7 linked regions of the Macaca fascicularis genome follow. The protein of the gene in region 1 purifies or fractionates together with the protein of each later gene. This does not show direct contact. Links are inferred from orthologs where the notes say so. Each region holds a gene or a part of one and is shown on either strand. Other genes may lie near its edges. The genes, in order: MED4, IFT20, MED9, CDK19, MED12L, CDK8 and CCDC138.

The links.
Region 2: the proteins of MED4 (region 1) and IFT20 purify together in Homo sapiens (affinity purification with mass spectrometry; 3 studies listed by BioGRID and IntAct, with this or other methods). This does not show direct contact. The link is inferred for Macaca fascicularis from reciprocal best matches to the Homo sapiens genes MED4 and IFT20.
Region 3: the proteins of MED4 (region 1) and MED9 purify together in Homo sapiens (affinity purification with mass spectrometry; 10 studies listed by BioGRID and IntAct, with this or other methods). This does not show direct contact. The link is inferred for Macaca fascicularis from reciprocal best matches to the Homo sapiens genes MED4 and MED9.
Region 4: the proteins of MED4 (region 1) and CDK19 purify together in Homo sapiens (affinity purification with mass spectrometry; 7 studies listed by BioGRID and IntAct, counting the BioPlex papers as one, with this or other methods). This does not show direct contact. The link is inferred for Macaca fascicularis from reciprocal best matches to the Homo sapiens genes MED4 and CDK19.
Region 5: the proteins of MED4 (region 1) and MED12L purify together in Homo sapiens (affinity purification with mass spectrometry; 3 studies listed by BioGRID and IntAct, with this or other methods). This does not show direct contact. The link is inferred for Macaca fascicularis from reciprocal best matches to the Homo sapiens genes MED4 and MED12L.
Region 6: the proteins of MED4 (region 1) and CDK8 purify together in Homo sapiens (affinity purification with mass spectrometry; 9 studies listed by BioGRID and IntAct, counting the BioPlex papers as one, with this or other methods). This does not show direct contact. The link is inferred for Macaca fascicularis from reciprocal best matches to the Homo sapiens genes MED4 and CDK8.
Region 7: the proteins of MED4 (region 1) and CCDC138 purify together in Homo sapiens (affinity purification with mass spectrometry; 3 studies listed by BioGRID and IntAct, with this or other methods). This does not show direct contact. The link is inferred for Macaca fascicularis from reciprocal best matches to the Homo sapiens genes MED4 and CCDC138.

The regions. Positions count from the first base shown.
Region 1 is NC_088391.1:27,205,069-27,209,247, reverse strand, and holds part of MED4 (mediator of RNA polymerase II transcription subunit 4), read left to right. Parts: intron 1-2,442; coding exon 2,443-2,613; intron 2,614-4,179. UniProt on the Homo sapiens protein: Component of the Mediator complex, a coactivator involved in the regulated transcription of nearly all RNA polymerase II-dependent genes.
Region 2 is NC_088390.1:33,791,360-33,796,044, reverse strand, and holds the start of IFT20 (intraflagellar transport protein 20 homolog), read left to right. Parts: upstream 1-1,703; 5' UTR 1,704-1,799; coding exon of another isoform or gene 1,800-1,812; 5' UTR 1,813-1,848; coding exon 1,849-1,924; intron 1,925-2,082; coding exon 2,083-2,211; intron 2,212-3,549; coding exon 3,550-3,635; intron 3,636-4,685. UniProt on the Homo sapiens protein: Part of intraflagellar transport (IFT) particles involved in ciliary process assembly. May play a role in the trafficking of ciliary membrane proteins from the Golgi complex to the cilium.
Region 3 is NC_088390.1:17,591,251-17,594,830, forward strand, and holds the end of MED9 (mediator of RNA polymerase II transcription subunit 9), read left to right. Parts: intron 1-797; coding exon 798-1,014; 3' UTR 1,015-2,742; downstream 2,743-3,580.
Region 4 is NC_088378.1:14,654,058-14,658,236, reverse strand, and holds part of CDK19 (cyclin-dependent kinase 19), read left to right. Parts: intron 1-3,083; coding exon 3,084-3,156; intron 3,157-3,532; coding exon 3,533-3,630; intron 3,631-3,734; exon of another isoform or gene 3,735-4,179.
Region 5 is NC_088376.1:54,233,643-54,237,821, forward strand, and holds part of MED12L (mediator of RNA polymerase II transcription subunit 12-like protein), read left to right. Parts: intron 1-429; coding exon 430-519; intron 520-1,551; coding exon 1,552-1,661; intron 1,662-1,859; coding exon 1,860-1,995; intron 1,996-2,459; exon of another isoform or gene 2,460-2,521; intron 2,522-2,807; coding exon 2,808-2,969; intron 2,970-4,179. UniProt on the Homo sapiens protein: May be a component of the Mediator complex, a coactivator involved in the regulated transcription of nearly all RNA polymerase II-dependent genes.
Region 6 is NC_088391.1:6,304,919-6,309,847, forward strand, and holds the start of CDK8 (cyclin-dependent kinase 8), read left to right. Parts: upstream 1-1,893; 5' UTR 1,894-2,406; coding exon 2,407-2,534; intron 2,535-4,929.
Region 7 is NC_088387.1:16,296,221-16,300,399, reverse strand, and holds part of CCDC138 (coiled-coil domain-containing protein 138), read right to left. Parts: intron 2,497-4,179; coding exon 2,377-2,496; intron 1-2,376.

The sequences.
Region 1 (4,179 bases):
ATCTTGTACTTAGTACTGTGGATTCCTGTGTAATTTTCATTGAAACTGTTAATATTAGAGAGGAATGTGGCCATTTGAAAATTTTCTAGCCACCATTTTATTTGAATAGTTATAATGTTACATAGAATTTTAGAATTAGGATCTTAACGATGTTCAGTTCAACCTCCTGTGAGACTGAGTTCCAGGGTGAACCGATGAGCTAGAGGTTAATGGTGAGTGGAACCAGAACCTAGGTCTTCTGACTTTAGTTGAGTAATTTTTTTCTACTGAACAATAATATCTAAAGAGAATATTTTTTACTCGTGGGTAGTATATAAATTAGTTCAAACTGTGAAAACTTCTTGAAAGTTGTCATGGAACTAATGTGTACTACTTACCTTAATAATACAGCTTTTACAGAAATGGAAGCCTAGCTTTCTGCTACGATGTAGGAGGAATGAGGATTAGAGGTCTATTAAATAAATAGAATATACTTTACTTTTTACAGAAAAAGCTTTCTGTTGTTATTTAAAATACTCAATATTTGGCAGTTTGTAGCTCAGTCTTTTGTCTATTGTATTAGAAGAATTTCTATAAAAATGAGAGGAACTTCATGTCAAAAGGAACTTGAAGAGACATACCTGTATTTTTTAGTCTTCAACAAATTTTTTAAAATAGTTTTAAAATTGATTCTGAATTTTGACAGCTGTTTTCTTTCTGAAGTAGTATTCTCTACTTAGCACAGTAAAGTAAGGGTATTTAGACTAAACTTGCATCTTAATTCTGTACTGGGGTGGTGATCGTAATAACTAGCCTTTGCTGAGCTCTTCCTGTATGTACTTAAAGTGCATTATATCATGAATCCTCACAATACCTTTATGTAATGGCTACTATTAATATTATATTCCTTTTCCAATTAAGAACACAGGCTCAGAGAGGCGGGTAACTTTCCCTATGTCACACAGCTAGCAAATGGAGGACTAGAGATATGAACCACCAGACTTTCTATTTTATGTGTTTTAGGCTTCATGGTTTTTTGCCATATCTGCATACCACTTGTTTATTTACTGTTTTATGAAATCACTGTTTTTTTGTTTTGTTTTGTTTTGTTTTTGTGAGACAGAGTCTCGCTCTGTCACCCAGGCTGGACTGCAGTGGCATGATCTGGGTTCACAGCAACCTCCGCCTCCTGGGTTCAAGTGATTCTTCTGCCTCAGCCTCCTGAGTAGTTGGGATTACAGGCGTGTGCCACCACCCCTGGCTAATTTTTGTATTTTTAGTAGAGACGAGGTTTCACCATGTTGGTCAGGCTGGTCTCAAACTCCTGACCTTGTGATCCGCCTACCTCGGCCTCCCAGAGTGCTGGGATTACAGGCGTGAGCCACTGTACCTGGCAAAATCACTGTATTTTTATGATCATCTTCATCATAAGTAATACTGTGCATAAAATCAGAGTTTCAGTGTCTCAGTTTTTTCTAATATATATTAGCACAAATGTGTAACTGTAAAAGCTTTTTTAAGTTCTTGGTGCCACCTAAAATCATCTCAAATACTAAGTTTTGGGAGAACCTTCATTATATATATATTTTTTTTGAGATGGAGTTTCGCTATTGTTGCCCAGGCTGGAGTGCAATGGCACGATCTCAGCTCACTGCAGCCTCTGCCTCTGGGTTCAAGTGATTCTCCTGCTTCAGCCTCCCGAGTAGCTGGGATTACAGGCATGCACCACCATGCCCAGCTAATTTTGTATTTTTAGTAGAGATGGGGTTTCTCCATGTTGGTCAGGCTGGTCTCGAACTTTTGACCTCTGGTGATTCGCCTGCCTCCACCGTGCCTGACCTATGTTGTATTTTTAAGGATAAACTCTTTTTTTTGAGACAGAGTCTCACTCTGTCACCCAGGCTGGAGTGCAGTGGCATGATCTTGGCTCACCGCAACCTCCACCTCCCAGGTTCACACAATTCTGCCTCAGCCTGCTGAGTAGCTGGGATTTTAGGCACCACCACACCCAACTAATTTTTGTATTTTTAGTAGAGATGGGGTTTCACCATGTTGGCCAGACTAGTCTCGAACCCTGACCTCAAGTGATCCGCCAGCCTCAGCCTCCCAAAGTGCTGGGATTACAGGCATGAGTCACTGTGCTCAGCCATAAGGATAAACTTTAGAATTGTATCTTCCCTAGGAAATCACTAAACTTGCTCATGTTGCCATATTGTTAGTTCTGAAAGACTAGTTTTATTTTGTTTTGTATGAAAGAATAGCTGAAAAAGTAGAAAAGTTTTATATTTATGTTTCCCAGAATAATCATAGGTAGGCTATTTTTATTTTTAACAAGAATTGGGAATAATACTTTGAAGGTGTTGAAATTTATAGCCTAGCCAATTCAGTTATGGATTCTTTGTTTCATTGAAGTGCAGCCTTTCAGTAGTCTATTGTTTGATTTAATTGACTGTTATCTGACAGGTCCTGGAGTTGTTAATTCACCGAGATGGGGAATTTCAAGAACTAATGAAATTGGCACTTAATCAGGGAAAAATTCATCATGAAATGCAAGTTTTAGAAAAAGAAGTAGAGAAGAGAGACAGTGATATTCAGCAACTACAAAAACAGCTAAAGGAAGCAGAACAGATACTGGTAAGTTGACAGAGGTTGGTTCTTAAGGTTAAAAAGGATATTGTTTAATCTGTTTCTGAAAAATCTGTTGTCAGTATTTTGAAGAGCAGAAAACTAGACTTTTTCCTTTTTTTTTTTTTTCTTGAGACAGAGTCTCGCTCTGTCCCCCAGGCTGGAGTGCAGTGGCGCAATCTCGGCTCACTGCAAGCTCCGCCTCCCGGGTTCACGCCATTCTCCTGCCTCAGCCTCCTGAGTAGCTGGAACTACAGGGGCCCACCACCGCGCCCGGCTAATTTTTTGTATTTTTAGTAGAGACGGGGTTTCACCGTAGTCTCCATCTCTTGACCTTGTGATCTGCCCACCTCGGCCTCCCAAAGTGCTGGGATTACAGGTGTGAGCCACTGCGTCCGGCCAAAAAAACTAGACTTTCCAAGTCTAAAAGTGACATCTTGTCACTAACCATTGCCCGTGTTTGAATGAAAGGCTATTGTCATTCTCTTTTTTACTTACATTTTCAGATAGCCTGCATTACTTGTGAGCCACATTTTCATTACTTAAGGATTTTACAGTATTGAATTATAGGAGTGGAAAGTTTTACTTTTATCCTGGTCTGATATAAATTTTAATATCAGTAGTCTAAATCTTTTTTTTTTTTTTTTTTTTTTGGTCTCTGATCCTTAAGATAAAAATCAGGGACATTTTTCATTTTTTATATATTTTGAAATTAGTAAAAATATGTACACATTTTATAAATTGATTAAAATTTACATTAATTTAGTCATTCATCCTCATCTAGGTAGGCTTTGGACATATATCAAGGATCTGAGTTTTTCCTTTGCTGTTCTTGGCTACTATTTCAAAGAGGCAATTTATTTGCTACTATTTGCCCAGTTACTTCACTAAATACTAACTAATATAATATAAGAGTATTGCAGAAATAGCTGAGCTTAATTCTCATGTCGACCAGACATTGCTGGCATCCTTAACCACTGATGAATCTCTTAACAAATGTGTCAAAATGAGCTCCAGTAACTAGAATCCTGCGTAGTTCAGGGTAAATTAATCACCCTTACTGAGGAAACAACTCACTAGTAAATGGTTTTTTAAAATATATTAAAATCAGGCCAGGCGTGGTAGCTTACACCTGTAATCCCAGCACTTTGGGAGGCCAAGGCAGGCAGATCACAAGGTCAGGAGTTCGAGACCAGTCTGGCCAACATAGTGAAACCCCGTCTCTACTACAAATACAAAAATTAGCCAGGTGTGGTGGTGTGTGCCTGTAACCCCAGCTACTCGGGAGACTGAGGCAAGAGAATCGTGTGAACCCGGGAGTCATAGGTTGCAGTGAGCCGAGATCACGCCATTGCATTCCAGCCCAGGTGACAGTGCGAGACTCTGTCTGAAAAAAAAAAAAAATTAAAATCAGGCATGGTAGCTCGTGCCTGTAATCCCGGCACTTTGGGAGGCCAAAGCGGGCAGATCACCTGAGGTCAGAAGTTCAAGACTAGCCTGGCCAACATGGTGAAATCCATCTCTACTAAAAATACAAAAAAATTTAGCTGGGCATGGTGGTTCACACCTGTAATC
Region 2 (4,685 bases), on another chromosome or scaffold:
CATTGCCGTAGGTTTCGAACTCCTATGCCCAAGTGATCCTCCCACCTCAGCCTCCCAAAGTGCTGGGATTATAGGCATGAGCTACTGCACTGGCCAGATCTTTTTAAAAAGCCCTATTTTAAGGAAGCTACAGATGAACACAGTGCTTCAAAAGGATGATGCTAGCTCACTTACATCAGTGGATTCCAGTGAGGCCAAAGGCTAAAGTCATCTACAGACAGCTCATAGACACGTATTAGTTAGCCCATGCAGTGTTGAATGTGGGTTTTCCCCCTTACTTAAAAGTTTTGAATTACATACCAACATTGAGATATTGGATTTCTGGTCCTCTTAAAAACCAGAAGTTCTGGCCGGGTGCGGTGGCTCATGCCTGTAATCCCAGCACTTTGGGAGGCTGAGGTGGGTGGATCACGAGGTCAGGAGTTTAAGACCAGCCATGGCCAACATGGTGAAACCCCGTCTCTACTAAAAATACAAAAATTAGCTGGGCAAGGTGTCAGGCGCCTATAATCCCAGCTACTCAGGAGGCCGAGGCAGGAGAATTGCTTGAACCCAGGAGGTGGAGGTTGTAGTGAGCCGAGATCATGCCACTGCACTCTAGCCTGGACAATGGAGTAAGACTCCTTCTCAAAACAACAACGACAACAACAATAACAACAACAACAAAAGATCCAGAAGTTCTGGAAACAGTGAGACTTGATTATTTTCGAACCATTGCTCCTCTTGTGGCACACCTGCCCTAGACAGCCACCCCCAGAATCACCCCATTCAGAACAGGACTTCTCTAAGGAAGCCACGAGGGAAACAGCTGAGGCTGGGGGCAGTGAGGGTAGAGGGAAGAGGCTGGTGCAGGTCCAAGTGATGGTAGACTTTGGAGCACCTGGGTTTTAGAATTGGCATAGCAGCTAATTGCTAGATGTAACTAGCATTGCCTCCCTTTTTAAACAGGTCATATGATGTCTATTTTTAATTTTGTGTGTGTGTGTGCGTGTGTGTGTGTTTGAGCCAGAACGAGGGTGAGTTTTCAGTATTTCCTTCCCAGAATTGAGGCATCCTTTGGAACAGAAATGCAAGGTGGCTTGGAAAGGGAGAAGATATCTTTGTTAGTTCTCTGTTGCCTACAGAAAAAATCGTAACTCCTTAGCTTGGCATACGGGTCTTCCTGGTCTGGCTCCAGCTCACCTTTTCAGCTCCATCCTTTTTCCTTTCATCCTTAGGCGGGGTAGGTCCTTTCAGTGACTTCAGGCCTTTGTCCATGCTGTTTTCTCTGCTTGGAATACCTATCCCTGGCCTGCTGCCTTGATACGTTCTTGCTGATACTTCATTCCTTTTTGTGTTTTCTGCTAGAAAGAGAATAACCCAACTTTGATTCCCAATTCAGGCAAGCATACATTTTGAGTAATATTCTTACTCCTGACTTTGTATTTTTTAACCATAATTTTTAATTCACCCAGATTTCTTTTATTTGGTTTGTGTGTTGTTCCAGTATGTGTATTTGAGAAGCCTTCTCATGTGCTTTTGGGTACATAACTGGTGATATATAAAGTAAATACACTTATGGCTCACAACTTAGTTCAGATGTCACTCCTTCTTTAACGGCTCTATCCTCCTCTGGCTCTTTACTGATATTTCTAAACAAGCATTTAACACAGTGTGATTTTTCAGTTTCCGTGTCTGTCTTCCTCCAGCTGAACTATGTGTCTTCAGGGCGGGCACCGTGTTGCATTCATCTTTGTACCCCCAGCATCTAGCAGTGTTGGCATGTAGTAGGCACTCAAGAAATGTGTGTTGAATGAACGATGCCTGTGACAAGTAAGCGGACTTTATTCTTTCCTGACCCTTGCTCCTATGACACACCTCCTCCTGACTGCCACTGTCACTCCTTCAGAGCAGAACTCCTCTAGGAAGTCTGGATGGGAAACAGGTGAGGCTCAGAGAGGTGGTGGCAGAGGGAATGGGGAGCCTTTGGAACATCTGGGTTTTTGGCATTGGTGTCCAAGGGCAGGAACAGGGCTGGCTTGGCAGCAGGCATTTCATTGGGTGGCTAGGAAGTGATGAGGAATTGGGCTGGTTTCTTTGCAGCCATGGCCAAGGACATCCTGGGTGAAGCAGGGCTGCACTTTGATGAACTGAACAAGCTGCGGGTGTTGGACCCAGAGGTTACCCAGCAGACCATAGAGCTGAAGGAAGAGTGCAAAGACTTTGTGGACAGTGAGTATTGGGGAGATACCGTGTCACTCAGCTTTGAGCTGCCATTCCAACTGTACCCCAGGCTCATCTTGGCCCTGCCACAGTGGAGCTGCTGGCTCCCTGGAGGTCGAATCTGGCATCTGTGAGTTCCCATGTGCCACCCTTCTCTGCCTGCCCTCGTGCTCTCATGTGTCCCCAGCAGAGCACCAGTCAAACCAAACACTGGGATGGGGAGGGTGTTTTTAGAGATGCCATCTTTCATTTCTTGCTCTTAGAAACCTTAAACTTTCTGGGAACATAACCATGGCTTGGGGGTGAGAAATAGAATTATGTACTCCTGATTTGATTTCTTTAGAGGAAGTCTTCTTAGTGGCAGGTTCTCTGTTATTTGGAGTTAGAAGTGATAAGTGAAGTTTCTAGAAGCAGCTCAACAGACTTACTGAAGTCATCTTTTGGCTAGAAATCTTCAGGAAGCCTCCTGTCCCAGCAGCCAAGTAAGCCCAATGCATTCAGTACAGAGCCCTATCTAGCTAGAGCAAGGGATTTCTGAGCTTTCTGGGGGCTTCCTAGGTTGTGGAGAGAGCTTGATTAGTGAAAGGTAGCTTGGGTTCTGTCACTAACCTTCTGTGATTGATGTGCCATGCACACACCTCTCTGGGCCTTAGTTTTCCCTCAGTAAGTTGTGTTTCCGTCACATCCAGGACATTGGAGAAAGTGAACAGGAGATTAGGCACTTAATGCTGTGAGCTCTCTATTTTCTGTGGTTACAAGTGGGAAGCCCCCATCCCCACTGTTAATTGAAATCTGGTGTCATACCCGTAGCTAGTCCAGAGGCAGCGCTTGTGTCCTGAGGCTGCCCTTTTGTGAACAACAGTGCTTCCTGTCATTCCTGGGGAAGCAGGTTGGGGTCTGTCTGGAGGATGAGCCCAGCAAGGGCCTAGTGCTTTCATAGCCTGAGATCATAGCAGCTGGTTGGCTCAGTGGGGACACAAGGTCCGGGTATGTCCTGGTCCAGCTGGCCACCCTTCTCTAGGTTCAGACCAAGGGTAGGAGACAGGCCAATAGGCACCAAAGTGTTTAAGTGACAGGGTCTCGCTATGTTCCCCAGGCTGGAATGCAGTGGCAGTTCACAGGCATGATCACACATCCTCTAACTCCTGGGTTCAAGTGATCCTCCCACCTCAGCCTCCTGAGTAGCTGGGACTACAGGTGCTCACCACCATGCCTGGCTCACACCAAACTATTTTGACACAAATTAGAAGGGGCAGTCAGCTCTGCCCTCGCACTGCCTCAGCACTCTTACTGAAGGGCAGTGATGAGACTGAGGAAATATTTTATTTTTTGTTCTTTTTCTGAAAGAAATTGGCCAGTTTCAGAAAATAGTTGGTGGTTTAATTGAGCTTGTTGATCAACTTGCAAAAGAAGCAGAAAATGAAAAGATGAAGGTAAGATCAGCATGTCTTCTGCCTACGTCTTGGCCTGGGACCCTAGTTTACTACCCTCTCATCTTTCTTCCCTCTTGATTTGTTTAGAGGGGTGGGTGGGTGAGTTTTCATTTAAGATTTTAAGGCCGGGCGCGGTGGCTCAAGCCTGTAATCCCAGCACTTTGGGAGGCCGAGACGGGCGGATCACGAGGTCAGGAGATCGAGACCATCCTGGCTAACATGGTGAAACCCCGTCTCTACTAAAAAATACAAAAAACTAGCTGGGCGAGGTGGCAGGCGCCTGTAGTCCCAGCTACTCGGGAGGCTGAGGCAGGAGAATGGCGTAAACCTGGGAGGCGGAGCTTGCAGTGAGCTGAGATCCAGCCACTGCACCCCAGCCTGGGCGACAGAGCGAGACTCCGTCTCAAAAAAAAAAAAAAAAAAAAAAGATTTTAATAACTTCTAGTCCACTTAACCTACTGAACTTACGCCAGTCTTTATTTCCTTTAATCTTTTTTTTTTTTTTTTTTGGAGACAGAGTCACCCAGGCTGGAGTGCAGTGGCGCAATCTCACTGCAACCTCCACCTCTCAGGTTCAAGAGATTCTCCCACCTCAGCCTCCCAAGTAGCTGGGACTACAGGTGTGCACCAACACACCCAGATTACTTTTTTGTATTTTTTTTTTTTGAGATGGAGTTTCCTCTCGTTGCCCAGGCTGGAGTGCAAGGGTGCGATCTTGGCTCACTGCAACCTCCGCCTCCAGGGTTCAAGTGATTCTCCTGCCTTAGCCTCCCGGGTAGCTAGGATTACAGGCACGCGCCACCACGCCTGGCTAATTTTGTATTTTTAGTAGAGACAGGGTTTCTCCATGTTGGTCAGGCTGGTCTCGAACTCCCAACCTTAGGTGATCCACCTGCCTCAGCCTCCCAAAATGCTGGGATTAAGGTGTGAGCGACTGCACCCAGCCATTTTTTTTTTTGTATTTTTAGTAAAGACAGGGTTTCACCATGTTGGTCAGGCAAACTCCTGACCTCAAGTGATCTGCCCACCTTGGCCTCCCAAAGTGCTGGG
Region 3 (3,580 bases), on another chromosome or scaffold:
TTTTAATCTTAAGGGAGATTGTTCTTGCCTCGTTTTTCATTGAGTAGGACCTCTGTGCAGCTAATAGCTGTGAGATAGAACGAACGGTCTGCCTTGAAAGTGAACTTGAATCAAAGGCAGGGAGTGTCCATCACCATGGCAGAAGAGAGCCTGTGTCTGCTGAGACATTTAAATCAGTTCCATTTTAACTAATTTAAAATTTATGAACAGCTCTGTGGAAATTAGTCTTTATGTTAAGAGGTTCAAGCCAGCATCAAAACCTCAGCTAAAATTAGCTCTTGCTAGCTGGTGAAGCCTCCTGATTGGCCTAGAAATGGCTCCAATTAGACAAAATGTCATATTTTAGCAAGTTTTGTTTGGCATTTGTCACCTGATATTGGTATTGGTTTGTTAATTGAACCAACATGTTCATGAGCTTATTTGCCAAGCATTCATTCTTTCCACAGACATTTCTTGAGTGCCTGCAGTGTGCCACACACTGGGCCGAGGGTAGGGAGACACCTGTGACCAGACAGACATGGTCCTTGACCTCACAGAGTGACAGTTGACTTGACAGAAGATCAAGAGTGTCTGTGTGTGATCTGCAAGTGTTCTAGGCCTGGGAGCTCTTTGCTGGCTGCCTAAAAGAGAACCCGTCCCTTCCTCTGGGGGTGGACAGCCTAGTCAGAGGCTAGACACATAAAATGAAGTGTTCTAAAAGCTATCGCAGGAATGACAGCGAGCTCTGGGGGGTGCAGGATGGGAAAGCCAAGACATGTATCAAGCTGCGAATGCTAACAGCTGTTCTTCCCCCACAGCATGGACAAGGACAGCCCGGAGGTCCACCAGGACCTGAACGCCCTCAAAACCAAGTTCCAGGAGATGCGCAAGCTCATCAGCACCATGCCCGGCATCCACCTGAGCCCTGAGCAGCAGCAGCAGCAGCTGCAGAGCCTCCGGGAGCAAGTCAGGACCAAGAACGAGCTTCTGCAAAAGTACAAGAGCCTCTGCATGTTCGAAATCCCCAAGGAGTAGAGTGAGGCCGACTTCCTGAGAAACGGGGGGAAGCCAATGGCCTGTCTCCCCACTACCATCCCCAAAGTCTCCTTGGGGCGTGGTTCCTGTGGACCCCAGCTCAGAACCTCAAGGTGCAGGGGCGGGGCTCCTGTGCTGCTGCATGTGCGTCGCCTGTGCGGGAGCCAGCACCGAGCTTGGCTGCGCTGGGTTTCTTCGTGTAGATCCATATGTCTAGATGCATAATAACTGGAGTGCCTGCTGGTGGAAGTCAGAATGCTCCTGGAGGCAGCGGAGGGGGTGGAGGGCTCTCCCCTGCCGCTGGGGAGGGGGCCATCTGCTGCGCCGGGCTCCACTGACAGATCTGAAGAGCACAGTAGGAAGGGAGGCAGTTCCTCTTTGCTTCCTTCCCTCCCTCTCCTCCCACCCCCATAGGATCAGTGTGTACCAGGTACACATTGTTCCCGTTAAAGCAGCTTCTTGAAACATTTGCATAGAATTCACTGGATGAATTAAGCCTGCGCTCATATGGCGTAGAACTGTGAGATAATGTTTTGAAAGGCCAGAGGGTGGCCTTTTTCCCAAACAGTTTGGTTCCTTTTATGTTTGAGCCAGTGAATGGAACTATAGCTGTGGGGGTGTCAGCCCAGAGCCCTGCCAGGCAGCCCCTTGCTCCAGGTTCCCTGCCTCCTCCAGGTTCCCTGCCTCCTGGGCTCTCCTCGCGGTCACCTCTTGCTCCCTTCCTCGCTCATCACCCTCAGTCAGTGCCCAAGAGTGGACAAAACGCTTCAGATGTGCTTCCCCAGGGTTGACAAGGGGCCATCCTTTCCACACAGGCTCGAAGAGGTCTTCAGGCGAACAGACCTTCCCCCTTCTGGCATTTCAGATTCCCATTGCTCTGGTTAAAAGATCTTTTCCTTCTGGCCTTTGCACTTGTGGCAGCAACATGTACTACACTGCAGAGGGGTTCACTATGCACCTTGTGTTCAGAGAGCGGCAACCCTGGGGGCCAGTTCAGGTGGTCCCCGACCATGAGCTAGGTCTGAAAGTTACACAGCCAAGTTTGAGCTCTTAAAAGTTTGTGAACAGCCCTCATTTCCCCAGCTTCCCTGATTTCTTCCAGATGGGACGTTTTGTTTGTGTGCTCTCCCTTGCCTGTCAGACTGAGGTAAGAGCAGTTCTCTCCCTTTCCTCTCGAGGAGGAGGTGTGAAGTCCTGGAGTATTGTTTGGGTCTAGGAATGGGCACATAACCTGCGCTGACCAGTTTAGGGGCTTAACAGATGCCCGTCAACTGACCTCGTTGGCAGGAGGATTGGGTGGAGATGTTTTTAGCAGAGCTTCCATTAGTGTAGACCTGTAGCCACGTGTCAGAAGGTGGGTGGCATATTGGGGACCTGGGGCTGTGTGAAGGAGGAGATCAGATTTCAGTGGCTTTGGGCAGAAAAGCAGGCTCTGGATTTAAGCGAGTGGTCACCTGTGAGACCAGTTCTACCTTGGGACTGTTATTTAACTGAATCAGTTATTTCCTTGAAATTTCACAGTAGTGGGTGGGCCAGTTTTAAGGCTCTGACAGATACCATGAAACATGAAGCACGTGGAAAATACAAGACCCCCAGGGTCTTTCTGAGTGCAAGGCTGAAATGGACAAGGGCTCCTCGTAGGGGCGGAGGGAGCCGGAGCCTGCCTTGTGTTCCTTTGTTGACTTGTAACATTTTTCAAATGCATAATTAAAAGGACTTACGCTCTGCTGTCTCAGGACATCATGCTTTTTGGACTGAGAAATTCATAGTGGGATGGCTCTCAGGGAGTTGAGAGAAAAATGTTTCTGTCTATTCAGACACAGAACCACACCTCTGCTTATCACCTCCCTCCGCCCCAGGACACACACCTGCTGAACCAGTATGGAACAGGAACTCCTCTCCTGGCTGGCCTCAAGGGCAGTTTGCCTGGCGTGTCATCCCTGCCAGTGCCTGTCACGAGCCCCTGGGCCATCCGTGGTTGCGTTTTTTTTTTTTTTTTTCTTCTGGTGGGGCGCGGCGGGGTGGGGGGTGCCTTTCTGTGACTGGAGGAGGAGCCACCCTCACTGGAGCAGGGTTGAAATCCTTCTCAGACGATTTTGAGTGTCTCTCACAGGGCTGAGCACCCTCTCAAAGCCACCAATTATTTGGATTACTGGGTGGCCAGCATTTGTGCTAAGTACTTTTCAAACATCGCACTTAATCCCCATAGCGAGCCCATGCCAGGGGTGTTCACTCTTCCTGGGGTGAAGAATTTGAGGCTTGGCAGGTGTCGCCCACCACAGGTTTACAGTACTAGTGGCAAAGAGAGTGGTGCTCCAGGGTGCCTTAGCCATGAGGGAGACAGCAAGGCTGAGCGGGGCATGGGGCTCCACACCTGGCCATGAGCACTGCCTGGAGCTAGTGGGGAGCGGAGGCCAAGGAGTTCCCTGTCTCCAGACAGGGTGGCACCCTGGAGTGAGGGGGTGGGGGTGGGCACCAGGATGGGCCTGCTTCCAGATGGGTCTCAGGCTCTTTCCCCAGGGCCTGAGTGATGCCTCCAACAGTCTGAAAGTTTGCCTGGGCCCAC
Region 4 (4,179 bases), on another chromosome or scaffold:
TTGAGGCTGGACAATCCAAGGTCAAGGCACTGGCATGTTTGGAGTCCCGTGAAGGTTGTTTTCTGCTTCCAAGGTGGTGCCTTGTTGCTGTGTCCTCACATAGATAGAAGGGCAAAAAGGGGCAGATGCTGTGTGATGCCTCTTTTACAAGGCATTAGTCCCACTCCTGAAAGCAAAGCCCTCGATTCTGGAAGGCCTTATCTTCTAACACTGTTGCATTGGGAATTAAGTTTCAACAACATGAATTTTGGAGGGGACATAAACATTCAAACCATAGTGCACATTAATTATAGGTAGTAATTTCAATGAGAATAGTTAATCTTTTTAAAAAACATATGTAGATTGTTATTTAAACTAGAAACTGAGATTTTAGCATACTAATTATGCCTGTGATTTACAAAAGGTATTCCAGATACCATTAACGTATATAGTTCAGGTTTAGGCTGCAGTATTAAAGACTTTTAAGAATGTAAGGGTCAATGGGTAGTTTATGTCTGTTATGTTTTAGCATGAATAAAGGTCTCCGTTCAAGGCCACAGCTGTGGTTTTATTTTTTCTGAGTAATGACTGGTAACTGATATGCTGGACTAGGAAACCTGGAAGGCTGGCAGAAGGAAGAACATGTGGCTTGGAATATGAGTAAAACAAACTGATGAAGGCATTTACTTTGAGCAGAAATGAGATTAAGGGTGATGGCATGTGAGGTGTTTGTTATAAATATGCACACCTACCGAAAATTGTGGAAGAGCTTCTCTATTGGCAACTTACCAGGAAAATTTTAGGACAGGATGGCTTATAGGAACAAAAGCAGACATCATTAAGAGAAATAGAGATTGGCATTGATCATTTCTGACCCCTTTTTCTCACAATCCTTGGTGAGGTCCTTTGCCTGTATCCATCTCTCAAGGACAGTGCTAATATCAAGGTTCTATCCTGGGCCCTCTTCTCACTCTGGATACTTTCCCAGTCAGATGTCATGATTTTGATGGCCACAATTCACCATCCATTATGTGGATAACTCCCAATATGTATCTTACTCCGTTCACTTTTCCAAGTTTCAAAATCATTTATCTAATTGCCTTATGGAATCCCAACCTGAATGTTCTATAAATTCTTTAAACACCCAAAACCAAACTAGTTATTTTCATTTAACATTGTATGGTACCTTGTTGGCAAGGGTACAGTAAAATGGACATTCCGGCCAGGCACAGTGGCTCACTCATGCCTTTACTCCCCACACTTTGGGAGGCTGAGTCGGGAAGATCTCGAGCCCAGGAGTTTGAAACTAGCCTGGGCAACATAGTTAGACCCTATCTCTATTTTTATTTTTTAAAAATTATTACTCATATGCTACTGGAGAGAATGAGTACTTCTCAAATTTCAGTGTACCTACAAACCACCTGGAGACCTTGTTAAAAATGTAGATTCTAAGTCAGAATCAGGGGTGAGGACTAAGAACCTTCATTTCTAATGCAGGCTCTCAGGTGATGCCCAGGTTGCTGGTAAAGGCTACATTTGTGTAGTGAGATTCTAGAGCACCTAAAAAAGACTTTAAAATGTGCATGCCCTTTGACCTGATAATTCCTGGAATTTATCCTGTGGAAGTAATCAGAGCTGCCACAAATAGATGAGTACTTCTTATATACCAGGGTGGTGCTAAACCCTTTACCGACATTTTTTCCTAAGATCTTCCTAGCAAATCTATAGGGTAGGTATAATTACAGTTTCCACTTTTCAGATTCGGAACCTAAGGCTTTCACAGAGGTTAACTAACTTGCCCAAGATCACACAATTGGTGAATGACTGAATCAGGGTCTAGGAGGGGTCTCTGAGTCTCATCCGCTAGGCAGTGTCGGCTCCCTGCCATGCGTATCAGATTTAGCTACAACGACTTGTATGCCACAGTTATTATGAAACGAGTAATACCCGTACCAGTAGGAGATAGGCAGCCACTCAATAAGTTTGAAGAGTATTTGACAAGGGAAAATGTTTATGGAACAATATTAAATAAAAAGCTAAGACAATTTTTATAGTAGGATTCCAATTTTATAAAAACAAAGCAAAAATTCCTGTGTTTATACCATGTATGTATATGCCACACACACACACAACGCCAAAGGGACATTATAAAAATTTTGTCAGTGGTTTTTTGGCCACGGAGTGGCTTGATTGTGATTTTAATTTTCTTCCTTATACTTTCTATATTCTGTAATTCTTTTTATCATGAACATATATTAACTATTTTTAGACCTTTTTAATTTGAAATATTTCATATGTAGGAAATAATATATAATGAAAAAACATATAGTATATTTAGAATAATAAAATGAATACCCCTTTGCTCACCTCTGAACCTAAGAATTAGAACATCACTAAGATTACTAAAGTACTCTGTGTGCCCCATCTCCCTATCCACCTCCCTCCCAGAGGATAGACTCTGAGTGTTCTGCGTTTGAGTTTATCATCCCACAGTTTTTATTAGAGTTCTAGTCCACATGTTTATGTAACTCTAAAAATATTGTTCAATTTATTGTCTTTCAACTTTTTATAAATGGTAACATATTATGTATTTTCTTCTGCAACTTGCTTTTTCTCCTCACTTAACCTCGCATATTCGTTTTTACTGTTGTATAACATTCCATTCTGTGTATATATAAAAACGTACCCATTTTTCAGTTGATGGACATTTGGGTTGTCTATATATATATATGACCATTACTAAAATGCTGCTAAGAACATTTTTATCCATGTATCCTGATATACATGTGCAAAAGCATCCTTTGACTCAGGTTTGTGCCTAGAAATGGAGTTGATGGGTCATAGGCTATACACATTTTCAACACTAATGGTTAATGCATAACTGTTTTCCGAAGGGATTGTAACAGTGTAAACTCTCATGTTATGTGTGACATTTCCTATTTCTTCACACATTTGCTAATATTTGGTAATGTGTTCCTTCTTAATCAGAAAAAACAATGTCTTAAACACATACCTTATAGGAAAGCCAATCTTGGAGCTTGTCATTAAAAAATATCAATTGGATGAGCGTTCCCAGTGACGTGTGACTGTGTGTGTCCTTGCAGGTATGCCAACAGTAGCCTCATAAAGTACATGGAGAAACACAAGGTCAAGCCCGACAGCAAAGTGTTCCTCTTGGTAGGTGCTTCTCTCCCAGACTGAAATCTGATTCTCAGCACAACTCTCGCCTTCTGTTCACTCAGCTGTTCCTCCTCTTTAGAAACAAAAGAAATTGTTGGATGCTGGGGCAAAATTAAATATTTTTTGTTGAGATGTCACCCTTGTCTTTCAGCCTTCACTTTAAATGATTTATCAGCAGAAAATGAACTTTAAAAGGGCTTTAAGGCTGATGATTTCTGCCAGTTTCACATAAAAGTATGTAGTATGCTTAATCTGCAGTGAGGTATACAAAATGTATTTTATATTAATCCTGTTACACAGGAATACAAAAGGCAAGGCGTTGACTTGTAAACAACCTTTTCATGTGCTCTGCATTTCCTGTGTGTCACTCTAGCTTCAGAAACTCCTGACCATGGATCCAACCAAGAGAATTACCTCGGAGCAAGCTCTGCAGGATCCCTATTTTCAGGAGGACCCTTTGCCAACATTAGAGTATGTGTCCCGTCTTTTCTGTGTCCTTTGCTCCAGGCTGAGGAGGTGGCGTGGTGTTTGAAAGCAAGGGAAGCACTTGCTACTGAAGTATTTAACTTTTTCAGTGATGCCACCTAAAGACTGCTCAAGAGAAAGCTTCCACATTTTGAAACAGGCAAAGCTGTAGAGAGGTATGAATGAAAACAAGTATTTTAGGAACGACCATTTGTCAGTTTTACGATGAAAACTAAAGCTGAGAACAGGTAAGACCTTCACAGACCAATTGGCCGGATCAGAAATTCAGCCAAACCAGCAGGTAACAGAAGTTAATCTGTCTTCCAGAGCACTACAAAACCCCTCTACTCCTCCATCCTTTTTACCCCCAAGTATAGACTTTGTGTTTTCATCTATAAGAGGTGCAGTTTTTCTTAAGGCAAATACAAATTAATTTATTTTTGGTGCTAATGAAGTTAGTATAGAGAAACTTCTATGTCCTGTGTGTCAGTTAGCTAGCAGCAGTCAAGATTTGAACACTAGCCACAGATGAAGAGTAGGAAATAAGTGAAGAAA
Region 5 (4,179 bases), on another chromosome or scaffold:
TAAAACATCAAAATAATACATTTGCTAGGATTCACAGCAAGTCCCTAGAAATATAACACAGGACTGAGGCAAAATGTAATTCTGTCTCTCCAGTGTTTTTGTTCGTAAGACCAATGAGGTAATGTATTTTAAAATTTTTATTAATGCTAAATGTGATAGCCCTCTCAAGCATTTTCCCAGACTTAATCATAGGTTATATAATTATATAAGATTTTCTTCTTCCACCTAGATGGGTAAATGCAAAATAACTAGCCAGATTTCTGTCTGCATAGAGGAAGAAGAAAGCTAAAATTTTATTTAGCTTTGTTTCTTAATTTGTTAAAGATAAGAAGTTGCTTTTTGCTATCAGTATAAAGCTCAATTTATCTTTAATTGAGAGAAAAATTAAACTTTAATGGAGAGAAAATGATTTCTTTTTCCTGATCTTAGATTTTAAGTAACTGGAGAGAAGAACGATACCAAGATGACATAAAAGCGCGGCAGATGATGCACGAAGCATTGCAACTCCGCCTAAATTTGGTAAGAGACATTTCTAGTATTTTCCCTTCATTAAACATATCTACATGTGAAAATAACTCCAGCTTTCCACTTCTCCTAAGTTCAGAGTCTGCATTACAAGGTGAGGCCTTCCACTCTTTGCTCTCTGTAACTACTTCCCTGTTTCTAAAGCCTTCTGTTTCCCTTGCTGCTTTCCTTCCTGTCTGGTCATACTTCCAGACAGTGCTAGGTATTTTAAGCTTTGATTTGCCTTCTTTACCTCTACCCTAGTGAATCTTTCCTTCTCTTCAGTTTGTGCTAAGTGTAGGTCTGAGAAGACTATTATAAGTGTTAGCTTCTACTATACTTATTTAAAACCATTTAAAAAGTCTTTTAACTCAAAGTTTTGTCCAACTTTCCATCAAACTGATTATAAAGACAAATCCCACAGAGAAGTTTTAAAGAAATTTAAAATTTCTCACATATTGTGCACTCCTTTGAGTTTTCTTTTCCCATCAGGCAGGTCCAAGTGCAGACCTCTATGGGGATGGCCTGCTTGATACTTTTGCAGTTGTTTCTAACCTCGTCCCAACATGTGAACTGGTAGGCGTGCGGGCCAAGCCTCCTGCCCATCACTGCTGTGCTAGTGGATGTTTCCATATGGTATTATGATAGCAGGCTTAGATTCAATAGTAATTGTACAGCAAACACAAAGTTGCAGATAATTGAATTACATGACTTTGGCATTATTCAGGTTTAATTCAACTATAATTGCATCATAAAAATGGACATCATAAAAGATTTGGAACAAAAGAAAACTAAGTTTATTGGTGCCCACATTCAGATACTCACTTCCCTTCTTCATTTTATTTAATTTTTGAATGAACTGTGCTGAAAGAACTAAAAATAGTGATAAACATGTAGGTAAGTGAGAGAAAAGATAAGATAATCTATAAACTAGAGCATCCCTTGTTTTTTTAAAGAAAAAACAATGAAAATTTGACCACATAAAGCAATGGGATGTTGTTTTCTATTTTACAGAATGCAAATATTTTACTGTATTTTATCTGCTAGGTAGGAGGAATGTTTGACACGGTGCAGAGGAGCACCCAGTGGACTACAGACTGGGCCCTCCTACTCCTTCAGATCATTACATCAGGAACTGTTGACATGCACACTAACAAGTATGTTTTTGTCATTTCACATTTATCTTGCTGCATGTATGCATGGTATAAGCTTTGATATACTGATGACGATTTCTGCCACATCTTATTTACTTGGATACTATTAAAAATTTTGTGCCTTGAATAAAAATACTCAGTTAAATAAGTGTATTTCAGTTTCATTTTAAGATGAAAACAATTATTTTCTTTCTTTCTTAGTGAATTATTCACAACAGTTCTTGACATGCTGGGTGTTTTAATCAATGGAACATTAGCCTCTGACCTATCAAATGCATCCCCAGGGGGATCTGAAGAGAATAAGCGTGCATACATGAATTTAGTAAAGAAACTGAAAGTAAGTTTGAGATCAGCCTGTATTAAGAGCTCAAGTTGTTCATGGATTTATTATCTAGTGCATTTTAATTTACTACTTAAATTAAATGTTATTAATTGTATTCAACTTAATTTAATGTGATTATTTGCTATTTGTTTCACCTAACCTTATCAGTACCCAGAAGTTACAAGCACATAACCTTGATTATTTTTTATTAACATTATATTATAAAACATGTTTAATTTTTAAAAGAACTTTAGAAATCCACTGTTAAATGTATAACCAGAATACTAACATTAGATAGATTTAGGATAACTCTATGCTTGGACTGGCACGTGTAATTGAAAAAATAACCATCTGCATTGATATTTATAAATCAATTCATTTGACCACTAACAGAATCTTTTAAAAAAATTGTAAGAAAACAGTGCAAAAAGAAAACAAATAAATCTGATGCGTTACCAATCAAATAAATCAATGGTTACCTTGTAATCTGACCCTGGACATGAGAAAGTGTTCTGTTCTGCAGCTCCTGCATTCTGATTGTGACTGCTACCCTGGATTTTTGTCATTTCAGCACTACGATGTTTGTTGTGTAACAACAGTGCCTTTGTGTATGTGTTCTATTTTCTACTTAAATAGAAGAAATGAAACACTCACTACTCTATTTGGAACTGCCTTGTAGACCATGTTCAGGGTTAAAGAACATGCGCTAAGCTATAAAAAGGGAAATGTTTCATAAGGAACCTTCTTTCTGGTTAACTTTTGCCTTCATTGTAATTTCTGTCCCGCTTCTCACTCACTCACTCACTCTCTCTCTCTTTTTTCTTCAGAAAGAGCTAGGAGACAAGCGATCAGAAAGTATTGACAAAGTTCGACAGTTACTACCTTTGCCGAAACAGACATGTGATGTCATCACTTGTGAACCTATGGGTTCCTTGATTGACACAAAAGGAAACAAAATTGCTGGATTTGACTCTATAGATAAAAAACAGGCAAGAGTAAATGTTTTTTCTCATATATACATTTATTTACAAAAAATCAAATACTTTTTCTTGTCTTACCATAGGATATATAAAATATCTCAATTTTGCTGTTGATGTTTTTAAGGCATATGCTTGTCTTCTAAGTGTACTTAGTCATTGGCATTATCATATAAAGAAGTCATATCTTTGAAGATCTTCGTTTTATATGTTTAAAGGACTTAAAATGTTTCCCTGAATTTAAGTAAATTTCTGAAACATGCCAAGAGAAACTAAGTAAAAGCTTAGTGTAAAAAAAAAAAAAAATAGCAAAAATAAGTTCTGGTTTTACTTCAGATTGAGAAGCAGAATACATTTATCAATACACAATTTCTTGTAAGCTGAGCATGGTGGCGCATGTCTTTAGTTCCAGCTGTTTGGGAGACTGAGGCAAGAGGATTGCTTGAAGCCAGGAGTTTAAGGCTGCAATGTGCTAGGCTCATGCCTCTGAATAGCCACTACACCCTAGCCTGGGAAACAAAGTGAGACCCTGTCTCTGGGGGGAAAAAAAAAAAAAAAAAAAGAAAACCTTCATGTAGTAAGCTATTTCAAATAAAAATTGTTTGAGAAAAGTGGTCAGTTATTCTTTTAATGAACATTAAGCAACCACAGACATTCCACAATCACCAAGATGAAAGAGTTCCTACCGTGAAGGGGGAAGTAGACAGACAATTACAGTGTGATGAGATTTGTGTGTCATGGTACAGAGACAGTATTAGGGGATAGACTAGGGTCCCCAGGAAAATTGACATGAGTCATTTTGAAGGATTAAGAGTTAGCTGGGAGGTAGGGAAAATTGTGGTACAAATAAAGGGAGAGTTTATAAGAAGACATGAAAGAATCAGATTTACCAGGGAATTTAGAGTAGTCTGAGAATCTGATACCAGTTTGTGTAAAGAAAAAAAGCTAAAGTCATGGTCAAGTTTGAGTTTGCAGTGTCAGCGGACTTCCTGGTAGTAAGACATCTGGAATCCATCTGGATATGTGGTTTTTACACCAAGGAAAAAGTTCTCATCTCAAGACAAATATTGGGAACAGTCAATTTACAGGTGATAATTGAACCTTGGTTTTGTTTTGTTTTACTTATTTGTTATTTATTTATTTTTGAGACGGAATCTGGCTCTGTCTCCCAGGCTGGAGTGTAGTAGTGCGATCTTGGCTCATTGCAACCTCTATCTCTATC
Region 6 (4,929 bases), about 21 Mb from region 1:
GCAGTAAGCCATGATCGCATCACTGCACTCCAGCCTGGGTGACACAGCCAGACCCTGTCTCAAAACAAAAACACACACACACATAAAAAGGTCTGAGACCTTCAGTGTCCCAGGATAGCGTGTATAATTGGTACGGGAGGTGGGGGAAGGGGAACCCGATACAGTGTAGGGCCAAGCCGAGTCCTCGGCCTCTTCACAACTTTTCCTCTGGTGTGGTAGCTTGATTTCTCAAGATCTATGAGTAAATACGTGCACAAAAGACACATTCCTCAAAAAATACAAAATACACTGTCTAAGGAAGAATCTTTTAAATCCGTATTTAGAAAGATGTAATTCTTTAAGGATGCAAAGGAGCAGTTCTGCCAGAGTCACCCAATTTACATCACTGAATGGAAACAAGTAATATGCCATTAATGAAAGCTTACATGTGTTTTGTGCTTTGCACTTAGCAAAGAAAAAATTCTAGGCTCCAAGAACACACTAATAAATGATAATACAGGATTCAAACCCAGTATACGAAAATACTAAATACTTATATAGTATGCTAGGTAAAAACAATTTAATTTTACACAGTGCTGAAGTCGCTAATTTTCCCCAAGGAAAAATTATGTAAGAGAAAGCCCTTTGGAGGTTTTTTCACAAGATGGTATCTTCATCATCATCATATGCATATGGATTTTTTTTGAGATAAACATGTTTATTCATTCATTAATTTAACAAGTGTTTACTGTGCATCATTATCAAGGCATGACACTAGGTTTTATGGAAGATGCAAATATGACTTCCTATAACAACTTAGGATCTAGCAAGGGAGAGGAAATAAAAGATGAAACGGAATTTGATAAATAACACAGGAAAGGTGGAAAAAAAGTGTTAAAAAGTTCACATTAAAAGTGCAAAGTTCCCTTTGGGAAGTGGGGAGCTTTAGTGGAAATGGTAACAATTGGAAACCAAAAATTAAAAACAGACAAATAAGAGGGATAAGATAAAATGATAGATTAGTATCAATCTTGAAGCAGGACTCCTGAAGCAGGACATACTGCTACCGCAAAATTATTAACAAACTAGTTCCCATGGATTTAGATCCTTTCTGTAATCATAGCTAGAAACTGGTGTTCTTATGGGGAGCATCGCAGAAGGCTGTACTGTACTCAATACTTCCTATAAATGGACAGGAAAGGTTGGATGGTCATCTGTCACAAGAGTAACAATGTTTAGAAGTAGCTTGGACAGTAGTCATTGATTCACTTTTACTGGAGCTTGTAATGTCAGTATGTTGACATCATTGTGCAGCCCTTATCAGATTGTGAACACCAAGAGTACCCCAACTGCTGGCCCGCGAGCTGTTTACAAATATATCCGCTTTTATAGATGACAGTGGCCTTTAACATCTGGAGTTCAGAGTGGCACAAAATGTGTTTCTAAAGCTACTCTCCTTCCCACGTGCATCTCTTTGGTCAAGTTTATGGCTGGAATCAGACTCTAGTTAGATCGCTATAAAAATAAAAATAAAAATAAAAATAAATTTTCCCCAAGTGATTGAAACGAATTTCACCCTAGACTACGAGTCCCAACATGCAACGCTCCCATATTCCCACCATGTGGGGCGGAGTCGTAGAAGAGGCGGCAGCGGCGGCGGCCTATGCATTCTGGGTATTGTAGTCTCGGAACCGGCCACCGCTGGGGCTGGTCCCACGTGTTGCGTTTTGCGGCAGCTTTGGGCAGCGGCTCCCCTGCTCCCTCCACACGGTCCTCAGGGTGCCAGCGCCAGCAGGGGCGGCCAGCCACCGCGGGAGCGGGTTGGAGGGTGGTTCGGAGGCAGCCCGAGGCTTCGCGACGTTTTTGCGACAGCCGCGGCCGTGTTCCGCGAGTGCCCTCCCTCCTCCTCTCTTTGAGGAGGTACCGGCTGTTGTGCGGCGCTGCCTTTCTGTTTGAGTGTATGGGAGAGTGAGTGAGTGAGTGAGTGTGAGCGTGTGTGTGAGCGCGTGAGGCGTGAGTGCGCGTGTGAGAGGACGAGAGCCCGCCTGGCCGCCCCGCCGCTCCCGCCGCAGCAGGAGCAGAACGCGCGACCGGAGAGAGCGGCGGAGCCGGCGCCCAGGGAGCCCGCGGGGACAAGGGCAGAGACACCGCTCCCCACCCCCAGCCCTCGTCCCTCGGCTCTGCTTCGCCGGGGGATCCTCCCCGTTCCTCCACCCCCGGCCGGCCTCTGCCCCGCTGCCCCCCTGGATGTCCCCGGCGCTTTCGCGGGGCCTCCTCCTGCTCTTGCCGCATCAGTCGGGCTGGTGCTGCGGCCGGCGGGCGTAGAGCGGGCGGGTTCCCGGGGGCTGCGGCTGCCCGTGCTTCCCCGGTCCCCACCCCTGCCCCCCGGCCCCCCGACCCAGCTCTCCGGCCTCGGAGGCTGTGACAATGGACTATGACTTTAAAGTGAAGCTGAGCAGCGAGCGGGAGCGGGTCGAGGACCTGTTTGAATACGAGGGCTGCAAAGTTGGCCGAGGCACTTATGGTCACGTCTACAAAGCCAAGAGGAAAGATGGGTGAGTGTGTGCGTCTGGGCCGGTGTCCGCGCTGGGCGGCGCTCCCGCAGGCCGAGGCAGGTAGCCCGGAGGGAGAGCGGGCCGCCGGGGTGCCGGGCTCTGACTTCCTCGACGCCGGCCTCTGGCTCCGCCAGCAAGGTTTGGGGAGGAAGTGGTGTACAAGGGATCCAAAGCCACAAGAAATCCTGCGTGCCGCATCTGTGTTGTGCTTCGGTGCTAAGAGGGAAGAGGAGCCTCTGCACCGTGGGCTATATACTTTTCAAGGATTTCAAAGCTGATTTATGAAAAAATGCGTTCTAAAACGCCGGGTGAAATGTTTCTGTTTGTTTTTTTTTCCTTGGTCGATTTATTATGGTAACCTTCTGGGGATTTCCTCACCCGCCTCGGGAGTGTCATCCATCGGTCTAGAAGGAAGGCTGTGATCCTTTCCCCCACCAGTTTGTGATCGATTTTTTATCAAATTTGTATTTTATTTGAGGGAAGGAAGGCAGCGAGTGAATGTAGTTCTGGAGAGAGTTCCCCATACGGATCATCTGCACCATACATGTTGCAGTTGCTATTTAGATATTATTAGCTGTGAATTTTTACATAGAACAATGGGGGTTTGGTGCAGGGTGGGTGGTGGGGAAGAAGACAAGTGACATAGGGACTATCTCGTTGAGGCTGTTTCCCCCAAATTTAGCGGCTGGCAGTGAACTTTAAATAATCCCTTTGCTTTAAATATTCTTCCCTAGTAACAACTTAATTAAACCTATGAGTGGTAATGCTTCCAATTTAGTTTCTTAACAGGCAAGTGAATTGTTCGTTTTTTTCTCTTTGTCAGTAGATGAATGTCTTGTAATATTGACAAAAGAGAAGGCAGTTCTTAGTGGGGGGGAATAATATATATTTTATTAACTCCATGTTTTCTTGTAAAATGGATGTTGTCTCTGTTGCCTTTGACAGAATAGAAAATTATTGAAAAGTCAAAGCTTATTATATAATCTTTGGATTTTATTAGAAACGAAGTAGCTTTACTGGAACATTCCAGTTTAGTTACCTGCTATATGATGTTTAATCACTTAAAATTTCAGATTAGGAGAGTATGTTCAGACTACATTAGCACGAAAAAAAATTCATAAAGCTGAAGTTCCCTAGTGTGGGGGAGGGGGGCGCATATTTATAAATACTTTAGTATTCTGGATGTTGGAAAGGAAAGTGTGTATTTATTCAACATTTTTCTTAGATTTACTGAAATATCTTTCTAAAAGTGTTTACAATGGACTCTACGAGGAAGATAAGAGTTCTCATTAATTTGGAATATGTATTTTAGTGCTTTTATGCCACAATAAAGTGGAACAGATCGGCAGAAGGTAGGGATTTGGATTTGAAAACTTGATACTCTGGGCGCCGCACGTATTTAAAAGTACTTTTTAGCACTGGAGAAATCAGCGTCTGGAGATACTGCTGACTCTGTTGATGTCTAATTAGACTTATTGTTGAAGTTTTACTCTGTAATGACATATATTTTAAAAATTATGTTTGATAACTTACCATACAATATTTCTCAAAAGCTTTAAACCATCTCTCCTTCCCCCAGTATTATGTAATTTTGGGCATATTCATAAAATCCCCAATCCCATGAGATTAGACATTACAGTGCATTTGACCACACTGTCATGTTATATAAAATTCTAGCGCCTTTGCATTATTTTTAATCTGTGTGAGAGAAGCCGCTTCTGTTTTCAAAAACTATGAACTTAAGCTAATAAAATATGCATATTTGTTTTAACGTTGTACTTTTATTAGAAAACTAATACTGTGTATTGGCAGGAGGTACTTAAGCAAATATTTTATATCTCCATGGTCCGGTTTTAATTTAGGTTGTTAAGAATAATTTGAAAGAATAATTTCAATATCTTTGAATTTAAAGATAGTTGAAGGTATAATGTATGGACATTCTTAGTCATCCGTGACAGCTGAAAAGTAACATTGCATTTTGGAAAAAAGAGCTTATTATTTGTAATCCTTGGCGTTTGTTTTCCATCAGTCTTTAATGATTCTCTTTATGTGATGAACTTCTGTTTTTAATGGATCAAATGTCAAGAGAGTTTTAAAATTACTATCTTTTAGAGATAGTTTTGGAGAGTTTTAAAATTACAGGGATTTTTCAGTTTGACTTCTTTTTTGTAACCTCACTCTGGTAAAATATCGCATACTATTTATGAGGTTCTTTTGATCTTATGTCAGTGAAATGTAATTTAATGCATTTTAGTCCTGGTAAAATAAAATTTGTGGCTGTTTAATCTTTTATAATAAGATGATGATCAAATAATTTGTTTCTAGTATTGATTTACTTTCAAATTACATTATATATTCTGCAGCTGAGATTTGTTCTCTAGGAACTCAGACGGTA
Region 7 (4,179 bases), on another chromosome or scaffold:
TAGTTTTCAAATTTCAATTTAATTCCTTTCCACAGACTTACTATATAGGCAAAAATGTACCTACGCTAGGAATTCTCTAATGAAGCTGTCAATCTATTTTTCTACTTTCTTGAACATATTAATCATTATTTTAAAGTCATTGCCTGTTAAATGTGGATCACTTGCAAGTACCCTTATATTCTCTGGGGTTTTCTTCTTCATTTTGAGTTATGCAATTCTGTCTTTTGATATGCTTATTCATTTTGTATAGAATGAAAGACGTATTTTCCTCTGCTAGGCATTTAAACTGAGGAGTAAGCACCTTAATCTGATCAGGAACTGCACTTAATCAAGGCCAGGTTTCAATTTAGGAAAGTTCTGTCTCCCTCTAATTCACCCAGTCCCAAGGCACAACCCTGCTCCTTTCAACTGAGATCTTGGGGTGTTCACTGGGACTATCTCCCCATGATGACGCTTGAACATTAATCCTTGCCTCCTCAGTTCAGCTAGACTTAACAAGAAATGCTTTTAAATTATTAGAAAATGTATATCCAGTGTTAGCATAAATTACTGTGTAAGTCAGTCACAGAAATAACATATCTTTTTCTTCAGCAATTTCAAAGTACATGTCATTCATCTGGCCAGGAGCTGGCTAAATATGCCCATTGCTTGTTTTTATAAATACAGTTGTTTTGGAACACAGCCACACTCATTCACTTATTGCCTATGGCTGTTTTTGCATTATGATGGCAGAGCTGGGTCAGTAAAGAGAGACCACATGGCCTACAAAGCCCAAAATACTTACTATCTAGTCCTTAACAGAAAAAGTGCGCTGACCTCTGATCTATTCTTAACAAAGAAACCATAAAAAAGCATTCTGCCACATTTTTTCAGTTTGTACACATTAGCTCATAAATCCAATTACCAATAGGTCCAAATATTTAATAATCCACATATCCACCCCAATTACCACACACGCATGCAACCACATGCAAAATTATTAAGGGTTACAGAAACCTAAGAGATGGGTATGGGCAACAGTTTATCTAGCTAGGAATTTTTAAAATCCTCATGAGAGAGTGGTAGAATGAGACTGTAATGAGAAAAAGTGATCTCTCCAGGGATAAAGCGGGATTCCGAACAGACAACAGGCCATCAAATTCATAGTCCAATAGTAACAGTCATAAATGAACTGAGGAAAGCCAAAGAATTAGAATCAGGTGAGAAACAGGGTACCTATGTATCACTGCCAAGGAGGAGGATCACAACAAGTAGAGATTAAAGGGAAACAAAAGCAGAAACAGAAAAGGACAGCTGGCAAAGGAACTCCGGGAGAGTCTGAGGCTTAAGTTACATTTTATAATCCGTACAGATTCACAGCCCAATGCTTTCATTTTCAAAGTGACGGGGTTTACTCCAATTTCTGCTCCAACATCTACTCCCCACACAATCTAAAAAATACATAATCTTCTCTTGTCTCTCTTTAACATACTCCTTTACTTTCACATCTTTCTGCCAAAAACTGGCAGAGGGAAGGAAAAAAATAGACATAACTCACAAAAATATTTATGTTATGCAACTTTGATATTATGTATTAATCTAAATTACAATGCTTTTTTTTTTAATTTTTTTTTTTTTTTTTTGAGATGGAGTCTCGTTCTGTCGCCCAGGCTGGAGTGCAGTGGGACGATCTTGGCTCACTGAAAGCTCCGCCTCCTGGGTTCACGCCGTTCTCCTGTCTCAGCCTATCGAGTAGCTGGGACTACAGGCGCCCGCCACCTCGCCCAGCTAATTTTTTTTTGGTATTTTTAGTAGAGACGGGGTTTCACTGCGTTAGCCAGGATGGTCTCGATCTCCTGACCTCGTGATTCACCCGTCTTGGCCTCCCAAAGTGCTGGGATTACATGCATGAGCCACCGTGCACGGCCTACAAAACTTATTTGTAAGTATACTGCAATGTGATACCAGTTTATAACCATGAGAACACGAGCAATGTGAAGGTCTGAGTCTAGCACGATGCCTAGGATATAATAGATACTAAAAAATAAATGAATGTTAAATAAGTAGTGATAAATAATAAGTATTAAAGCCAGACATCACTACCTAAAAATGTAATTAGTTCTCAGGTTATCAGGTTTTCTTCTTTTGCTTGTCTTTTTTTCTTTTGCTTGTCTTTTTTTCCTTTGCCTGTCAGTTGGTTGCAGAACAAATAAAGAAAGAAACCAAAGAGTTGAAGAATATTTTATTTACATTTGGAAGTATTTTAAAATAAAGCTAACAAATGTAATCCAAATTTTCTCTAGCCGAAACGTGTTCTAAGGCTGACTTTAATTTGTTGTATATGAAATATGGTTCTTAGAATGTCTTATGTCCAATATCTATTCAAACTGGTCTTACCTGTTTTTTTAAGGTATCATTCAATTCTTTCAACGCATCAAAAGAGGACCTCAGTCTCTTGGTTTCTTTATTCTTTTCTTTAAGAACTTCAGTTAAGTGTTCAACTTCTGCATCATGTTGCTAGGAGGAGAAAAAAGAAACAACTGTGACCTAAAACTTGTAAGGATTGTATATCACTAATACTATGGAACATGAATTAATTACAAGTAAGAACTCCTTCAATCACAAAACCTTTAATAAGCGTATTTAAGCACAAGTGACTAGTGTGGCAAATAATTTATAAAAACCATGCAATCTACCAAGATAACAACAAAACGTCAAAGGCATTTACAACATACTTATTAAAACATATTAGCATTTACAAAGTAGCAGTAAGTCTATTTTCTGCTTCTGCTCAGAAAAATCCACTCACGCAAACTCACAGAAATATTTTGTTTGACATCATGGAATAATAAAACAATAAAGAATTTCTGATACTCTTCAAGAGATAAGTAAGCTATTTATGGCTTTATAAAGTGTATAATTTACATTACCCTTGAGAAATAGAAGAAATCTTTTATAAAACCAACTAATTTCTTGTCCTCATACAGCAGCTAAAATTTTTGATGCCTGCTTTTCATCTCAAAACATGTTAAATACATAATACAATTTCTGAGCCCCAAACGATTTGACTCTTCTTAATCAGTTTTAAAAATAACTCAAATCAACTTCCCCTCTCATTACATTTAAATGGGATAGCATGTTTTAGATTTCAAATGTGAACACTTAATAGTTTCACCTTTCACTCTCAACCTACTCACAAAGTTTTAAAACAAGTCTCTACAGGAAATAAAAAAACTGAATTAATTCCCTTCTTCCAAGTAATGATATAAATATGATGAAAATAAGGCAATTATCTTTATACTTAATAAAATAGATACACAAATCTAAAGAGAGAGAATCAAGAACAAGACTAAAATGGAGAGATCAGAGAATCTAAGCATCCTTTAGCCCTGTGAAAAAAATCCAATATTCTAAGAAGTTAATCTTTGTATGATTTTACTATATTAATTCCTTTAATAACTTGGGATATAGTCACAAATAGTTATTTTTAAAACTAATATTTTCATTGTCCAACTTTTTCCATATCTAAAAGATATTAAAAACATATGCATTCCATTTCTGGCACAGCAGGATAAGCTCAATACAGTCTTCTCCCACTGATTACAGCAAAAAGCCCTAATTAAAACAAAACAACTAACTGACAACTGTGAAAAGAAAAAAGGGGAGGACATTGTGATGAGGGAGAAAACTTGTAGAAGCAACTCTCAAGGGTAAAGTTTCCTGCATTTTTGTTTTTCCTCTTCTGTCAACATTTTGCCTCAGGGTGGGTCCCAGACACAGAGAAGTAGAACAAAAACTTCCACTAGCTGGGCACAGTGGTACACATCTATAGTCCCAGCCACTCAGGAGGCTGAGGGACGAAGATGACTTGAGAGTGCAGTGAGCTATGATGACGTCTGTGAATAGCCACTGCACTCCAGCCTGGGCAACACAGTGACTCTGTCTCTGCAACAATTAAAAAAAAATTTTTTTTTTAAATTTCCACTAAAGCTCTAAAAAATGTCCACTAAAGAATGAGAGAAAACCAGTCTTCCTGCAGGAAAATCAGGAAGAGGGGCCCCGACGAGCCAGAGTGTAGGGAGAATCCCGCAGAAGAGAGACTCAAAGAGGATCCTCTCACTCTGGTGTTTACGAACCTGTACAAATTGGGCTCACCTTTGAGCCGCTCAGGCACAGGACAGACCAAAAGCAGTAGAGCAA